Linked DNA regions of Drosophila melanogaster. The protein of the gene in region 2 interacts with the protein of the main gene of each other region in a pairwise test. Each region holds a gene or a part of one and is shown on either strand. Other genes may lie near its edges.

Region 1 (3,754 bases), on a different chromosome or scaffold from region 2:
TCGGTGATTATTGTGTCCGATGCAAGTGGCTGCGAAGATGCAGTGGTGGTCTCGCTTCAAAATGCAGCATTTACACAGTGCACAGTGCCAGGATCGTGGAGGCATCAGTTTCTGACAGATATCGCAATAATGCCACAGGTGCTCCGTTCCCGGTTTCGGAATTTGCCGCTCCTGAGGCAGACTTTTCACTGCTGAGCTTGTACGGTAGCAGGCCAGCAAGTTTCCCAGGATATTGTATGTTGTAAAAATCGCTGATATCACAAAGAACTTATACATAAAACCATCATGCACATCGGGGGCCACATAAAAGACCTGCAGCGTGAAGAAAAAAACCGTGCTCACCAGTAAAAAAATCACTGACAAAGGATGTCCTATGCTCACGGCCTTCTTAGGATAGAGATTGGCATATTCGCGGCACCAATCATTTACGATACACATGATTGTAGGATTTTGAATACAACACCGTATTTTCCACAACTTGACATTAGATGAAAATAAGTTATGATTGGCTTGTTAAAATCGATATATATTTTTCAATAATTTAGTAATACGTCTATTAATTTAGTGAGACTGCTTCATCTGCCAATGTGCACCGTCATGGGGCAAAGGACTCTTCAGCAAGGGCGATATAAAAGTCCAAAGTCCTCGTTGGCCCATTATTGTCTGGCAGTTCTTTCGGAAACCCAGATCGTAGGTGCAATCAAAAATATTATAGTAGGTAGAGTTTTGGCTTAAAATCTGCATTTGATATGCCAACATAAAGGCAGGCATATAGCTGGCGCTTATATTCAAGAGGAAGGCAATGGTCTCAAAAGTATTGCCAGTATAATTTTGGAAAAAAGTCCTAGTTATTAAATTAAAAATCACAGACGAGAGACTCATGAAGTTACCGCCATTCTGCAGGATAAACATACAAAATGTTGCAAAGCTTGTGACTAAGCCGAGCGTTAAATAAAATGTGAACCAGAAGAAAAAGCGTTGATTATTGTGTCCAATGCAAGTGCCCGTGAATATACAGTGGTGGTCCCGTCTCAAAATGCAGGTGTTGCACAAAACGCAGTGCCAGGATCGTGGCGATCTCAGCTTTTTACACGATTCGCAATAGTGCCACAGGGGCTCATCCTCTGGATTCGGGCATCGGGAGTCCTTGGACAAGGTGTTTACCGATGAGCTAGTCATATAGCAGGCCAGCATGTTACCAAGTATGTTGTGCGTTATGAAGGTGACCAATATCCAGTAGAGCTTGTAAGCAATGTCGCCAAACACTTTGGGCGCAATGTAAAACATCTGCAGTGAGAAGAAGAAAGCTGTGCTGCACAGGACGAAAACTATCGAAAGTGGATGCACTATCCTCACAAAGTTCTTCGGGTAGCGATTGGCAAAGTAATGGCAAAATCTATTCACGTAGCACATTTTTTAGGATTTTGAAAACTTCTGTTGTAAATTATAGACTAAATAGAAACATTTACATCACAGAAGAAGAAACGCCAACCCGACATATTATAATAGAATTTATTCGCTATCTTATATTCAAAGTTTTTACAAACAAAATTTACACTGTCTGCTTCTGGAACCACTGAGTGCCATCGGTAGGAAGAGGACTTGAGATCGTTGGAGAGAAAAAAATCCAGAAGCGCCGTTTTCCCAAGACCATATCAAAATTTCTTCTCCAACCAACATCATAGCTGCGATCGAGCATCTTATAGCATGTACTATTCCGATATACCATTATCATTTGAAAGACGAACATGAAGAGGGGGACGCCAAAAAGAAATAAATTCAGTTTGAAAAGGTTGGCGATTGTGTACTTCCATTTGAAATCAGCATCTTGGGTTGTATCCTGGAACATTAGCAACAAAGGATCGACGACCAAAAAGGCCTTGTTTGTCCAATTCAAAATGCCATTGTAGACGAGCGCCTGTCCGCTGCCAAAGCTCAGGTGAAACAAGAAGGCAAGGAAATACCTCTGATTTTTATGGCCAATGCAACTGGCAAAGAAGGTGCAGTGGTGATCCCGCTTCAGAATGCAAATGTTGCACAAACTACAGTGCCAGGACCTCGGTGGCACCAGCTTTTGGCATGTGGAGCAGTAGTGCCACAGGTGAGCCTCACCTGCCACAGGATACTGTCTTTCCAGAACTAAGCTATCGACTGAGGTATTGGTCATACAGCCGAGCCACCAGTTGCCCAATATATTGATGACTGTATAAATTCCCATAAACCAACACAATTTGTGCCATATACCATGGGGATCAGTTATTTGCGGCAAAACGTAGCATAATTCATAGACAAACAGCAATCCAATCAGACAGAGTAAAAATATTGCACAAAACGGATGAAGTAGGCCCATAACTTTTATGCGATGTAGTTGAAAGTGACGATGAAACCCTTCCTCGGCTCGAAAACACATTCTTCTACTCCAACCGCAAGTAGATCTTAATAAAACTCGAAATCGAAGCATTTATAAATGACAGACGTATTGTTAAATTTATCAAATAAATTATTTTTAATAGACTTTGGGCACCAGAACTGCCTTGATTTGGAAATATGTATCTAACTGACATAATCGCATCACCCACTGAATTGTAAAAATCTGGCATTGTATGTATGTGTACTTTGGTGGGTGGTTTCAAATTCAATTTCTTTTCCTTTTTAAGCGGATTATTGCGAAATTACGTTTTATAATTGCTGGCGTCATTTGTGAAGGCAGAAAATTTTTATTTAAGTGGCGCTTCTAAGTGAATTCTACAATTCAAAAGATTTGGCTTATGGAATGTTTTCACCTAAAAGTTTCTCAAATTTTTACTTCATTTTCAAAGCAGTATAGGCAAAACCTTGCTTATAAAGCAAGCTTATAAGCAGAAAATAAATTGAAATAAAAAAAACAATGGAGGGAAAAAGGGCATCAGCATGGCAAAATATGGTATTTTGCAGCAGCTGTATGTTGTATAAACAAAGAGCAGAATAAAAACAACGAGGAATGCATATCAAATACATGTAGGAAACAGCTGGGTTAAGTCGACTTCATCAGCCCAGCGACCGCAAAATGGCAGCTGTCGGCCAGGTTTAGACCGCAGGAACGAATGTTGTCTATTTCGCATAAATTTTTATGAATTATTAATATGAACTAAGCATTTTGAATGTGGCCTGGTCGGGTGGGAAAGCTGGTGAGGACGCGGTTTTTCATTTTAAGTTCACTGAGGTGTATGGCACACCTATTGAGGTGGTTTTTCTTTTTGCCGTAAAGTAGAGTGGCAGTTTGCTTTTCGTTTGCATAAAATATGTACGATGGGGCGGGGCGGGACTTTCCTCACTTCGTGGCTAAATGTGTTTGCCGTCTTTGGCCTAGACCGGAAGCAAACAAACAGCCATTTTGTGCTGCTATTCGACGCAGCCATTTCCGGCAGCCACTCGGCGCCGTCGATGTGTTTGTCAGTCAACCTGTGGCTTGACTTTCCCCCACTTTCGCTTAGCTCTTTCTTTGACTTTCTGTGGGCACTACGAGTCATTAGCATTTGCTTGGTGTAGGTGGAGGGGCATACAAAAAATGAGAATGGCTTGCGGAGTTGGCAACTGCTTTTGGCCAAGTTCTCGCATAATTGCCGAGTTTTGCTGCTAATTTAAGATGCTTTGCCCCCATGGCAGTCAGCTCGCATTCGGTGTCTTTGTTTGATTTCATTACGAGCGGAGACTCTCAACTACAGACAGCTGTGCCGCAAAGTTTTTCGCAGTTAGGAGTTTGCACATTTTGTCT
Region 2 (3,931 bases):
GGGGTTATGGTCGGGGGGAGGGTGGGGGGCGGACTACGAATGGGTCATTGCACTTTTGCAACGCACTCACAGATACGAGAGCATAGCATACAACACACAGATACAGATACATTTACAGGGCCGACAGATAGCAAAGCAAAAGGCAACATTTAAACGAGAATTGTGTAAAAAAGGCACGAAAAATTAGGCGAAAGCAAACAGAAAGAAGGCGAAACAGGAAAAGAGGGGAAGAGCGGCACAGGGGGAGCTGGGTGAAGAGCGGGAGAAGGCAAACAAGATACAGATACATCTGTGCATGTGTGCAAAGTGTGTGGGGGAAGTGGCGATGGGGGGCTACCAGTGCAACTGCAACTTTGCATGGGTCGGCCATTTTGTGATCGTTTTCGCTGGCGCAGATACAAAGATATAATCTTTACAGTGAGAGAAAAGTTTATTGACAAACCTTTTAGTGTAATTTACGAATTACATATATATTATATATATTAAATACCCCATAATTCTCTAAGAATATATGTTTTCTTTAGTTTTGCTTGTGAGAAAAGTCAAAATTGAGTTGTTGACACATAAAAACAGTGCGTAAATTAAATTTTTTCTGTGTGCTAAAGACTTTATTTCTATGGGGCGTATGGCGTCAGATATAAAACTGATGTTTGCAATGATCGTTTGTATGTAACTCAAATCGCGTTTCCCGGGCGACAGTCCCTTCACGTACATATGTACATATTTATTTATATGTATATGTAGATATGACAAAGTCGTTGCAGATCCGGCCGTAGATATGCATATGCATAGATATAGATACAAAAGTACATATGCTCTCCATGAAGCGCGCAGATACGAATGCGTTGGCTATAAATAGCGAGCCATGCCATTTGTGCCGCCAGCGCCACTCGAGTGTGGCGGTTGCAGTTGCAGTTTGCCGCTCAATGAACATGTGGAAATTCGGGAAATGGAAAGCCGACGACCACGCCCCCGTTAAGTACAGGCTAGCATTTTTCGAGCGGCGCATGGGGTGCATTTTCCACGATGTTTTCACCAAAAACACGCTCGCACACAAACGCACGCACAAATGCGTTATTTTATTTTTAGCAATTTGAGGGAAATTTCAAGTCGAGCGTTGTGAATTTTTGTTCGAATTTATACGGCCATGGTCACATGGCAAGGGAAGGTGGGGGCGAAACCGCCCTCCATAGAATACGTCTGTGTTGTACTTACCTTGTTTTTCCGCTGTTGTTTTATTCACTCCATGTACATATAGTATCTGCAAGATCCAGCGACGTTTTTCGGGGTTTGTTGAGTGCGTAGAACACGTTTTACAAATGTATCTGCTGGCTGATCAGAACGCCGATTCTAACCATAATTCGATTCACATTTTCGCACATAGTCTGGCCACGTTTTCACTGGTCCTAAGTCAGCCAACATTTTAACCGGCATTATTGTGTGTTTGCTTCGATTTTCACTATATTTCACTGCAGTTTTCTTTGGTTTTTTTTTTGGCTTGGATCGAAGTGAACTCTTTGCCTTCGAATGGCAAAATGACGCAAAGTTACTAAACAACGAAAAAAATAGTATGAAAAAAGGGCAATACAACTGATTCTCGGAAGTGTTTCAGTATTCACAAGCATTCGGATGGGCACATATAACCGTGTATCTGTGTATCTGTTAGTTCGTGTATCTCGAAGGGCGGGGCAGGGTTGGCAGCGGCGATTTACATGTGTCGCTCTGCTGTAAGTTCTGGACAGACCGCCAAACTTCTGCGGCGGTACGAGCACTGACCTTGAGTTCAGGCGTTTACCAAAGGGACTGCGAGTGGAACTGGGCTTCTCGGTTTCTCTGTTTCTGAGTGGGGACTGTATAGCCGACTGAATCTGTTTTTTAATTCTTTCGCCGATTCTCGACTGCAGAGAGAGAGCTCCGCAAAAATGGCGTGTGTGTAGAAAAAAAGCTTCGACTGTACATAATATACTAGTACATAATGCCACTGACTCACAAATTGAGCAAAAAAGCAAAGTTCCCAAACTAGCGAAAAAAAAATAAATATAAATTTGGGCCTCTGGAGGGGGGAAAGCTCTTTCGTCGAGCATAGAATTATCATCGGCCCTTGGGCCCACGTAAGAATTTTGCAAATATATCAACACAGTCATGAGTCGAAAACAACAATCGACAAATAAAAAAATAACCCGCCAGTTGGCCGCTTGTTTATCTGTGAAGCGCTTTTCAGGGTCACTCTTGATTATTACACAATTTTTGTTTACAGCAAAATGCGGCGCAAATTTTTGTAATCTATATTGGTATGTGTGTGTGTGTGCGTGCGTGTATGGTTTTGGTTCTCGAGTTGAGTTTGTTGTTTACCACGAAAACAAATTCGGTGGGCCAGGGTCAAAAAGCGGCTACGTGAAAATGCGGAAGGACGGATCGCTCAATGACAATTACAGTGAAAAGCCTTGCTAACCAATGAGCGCAGAATTGTTGTTCTATTTAAAGTGTAGAACCATTTAGTAAATGCAAAAAAAAAGATATTATGAAGTCAGAATCTTAAAAATGAGCTATCTATCTATCTATTTCTATCTCTCAGATAGATAAGTGGTGGAAGTATCTGATGGATTTAAAGGTAAAGGAAGCCCTTTAAATATTTTACCCCAGACGTGAAAGCAACAAGTTGCGTCAACAGAACCACAGCCCAAACCCAAATCCCACTCACATAGATACGTTTACACACACACTTTGGTGCGAAAGCACGCCAGAATTGAGTAACAATAACAACATTCCCGCCGTCCCTAAACTTGAACTTGAATTTCGCAGCGAAAACAAAAATTCAAGAGCAAAATGCCGGCAAAAAACAACAAAAAGCGTAAAAAAACAACGCAAAAACTAGTTGCAAACAATAACAATTTCGCGTAAACAGTCAGATGCTCTCGCTCCCTCGCTCTTTGGAACCGATGGTGACCGAAGTGGAGCCGAGGGTCTTCGGTTGCCGCTCGGCAAATTGTGCAAGCTTTCGATTCGCTTTTGCGACTCGCGAATTCCCCCGAAATTCGCAAGCCGACCAATCAGAGAGCATTTTTGCACACAACAAAAAGAGCAAAACGAAAGCTTTTCGCCAAGTGTGTGTGCGCTGCTTTGTCGCAAGTATAGGTGAGCGGGCTTTTGCTTATTTTTGGCACATCGCGTATCGCCATTTTTGCGCAAAAAGTCAAAAGCTGTCTTGACGTCGTGTTTTGTCGCTTTGAGGTGATTTAAAGAATCGCCAGACACGTGGTTCTTAGTTGGGGAATAGAACACGAATGCGCGGAGCTTACTGGGCGAAAGAATCTAACCGGGAGAATTCACCAGCCACGCAGAAGAGCTTTCTGGAAAGATCGGGAGCTATAAGACTTGTTGTGGTCTTGGTAATGACGTTTAAGATCTGGAAACATTACATATAGCATTTAGTTTTTCGATAACTTCTTAAAACTTACCTTTATTTAAAGAGTGGTTATACGATTTCGTATAAAGCTAATCGATCCATTATTGCCAACTTTTTAAAATATATAACTGCTTACATGTTTCTTTTTCTGGTATATGAATTACTGATAATTTCCTGTTTTTATTCAATATTAAGTGCGTGATAAGATCACTAAACCATTGTTACCATAACCTTGAATAAATTTAACATAGTTTACGAAAGTCTAGTGCGATTAGTATTATAACATTCTGCAAGAGAAAGCTTTTATAAATTGTTTATTCATTAAGCTTTGCACAATAATAGAGCAGAAGAGATTTCTTTCTGTTACTAAAATTTTGGCAATAAACAAATTCCGATGAATTTGCTTCTCTTATGTATATATGTAAGCTTTTCTATGCAAAGTATCTAGTCAGCTTTACTGACATTAGAATTTTGCGAAGCAAAGCTTTTTGAAAAGTTAGCACTTCATAGAGGCTTGTCTGATCT

Evidence for each region.
Region 1: the proteins of rib (region 2) and CG17195 interact in a two-hybrid assay, tested with the Drosophila melanogaster proteins (one large-scale study listed by BioGRID).

Annotation. Positions count from the first base shown.
Region 1 is NT_033777.3:25,775,769-25,779,522, forward strand, and holds CG17195 (uncharacterized protein), read right to left. Parts: upstream 1,431-3,754; 5' UTR 1,414-1,430; coding exon 562-1,413; 3' UTR 508-561; downstream 1-507. Other genes in the region: CG17196 (uncharacterized protein), read right to left, coding at 1-438; CG4956 (uncharacterized protein), read right to left, coding at 1,553-2,461.
Region 2 is NT_033778.4:19,268,071-19,272,001, reverse strand, and holds the start of rib (ribbon), read right to left. Parts: upstream 1,925-3,931; 5' UTR 1,216-1,924; intron 1-1,215.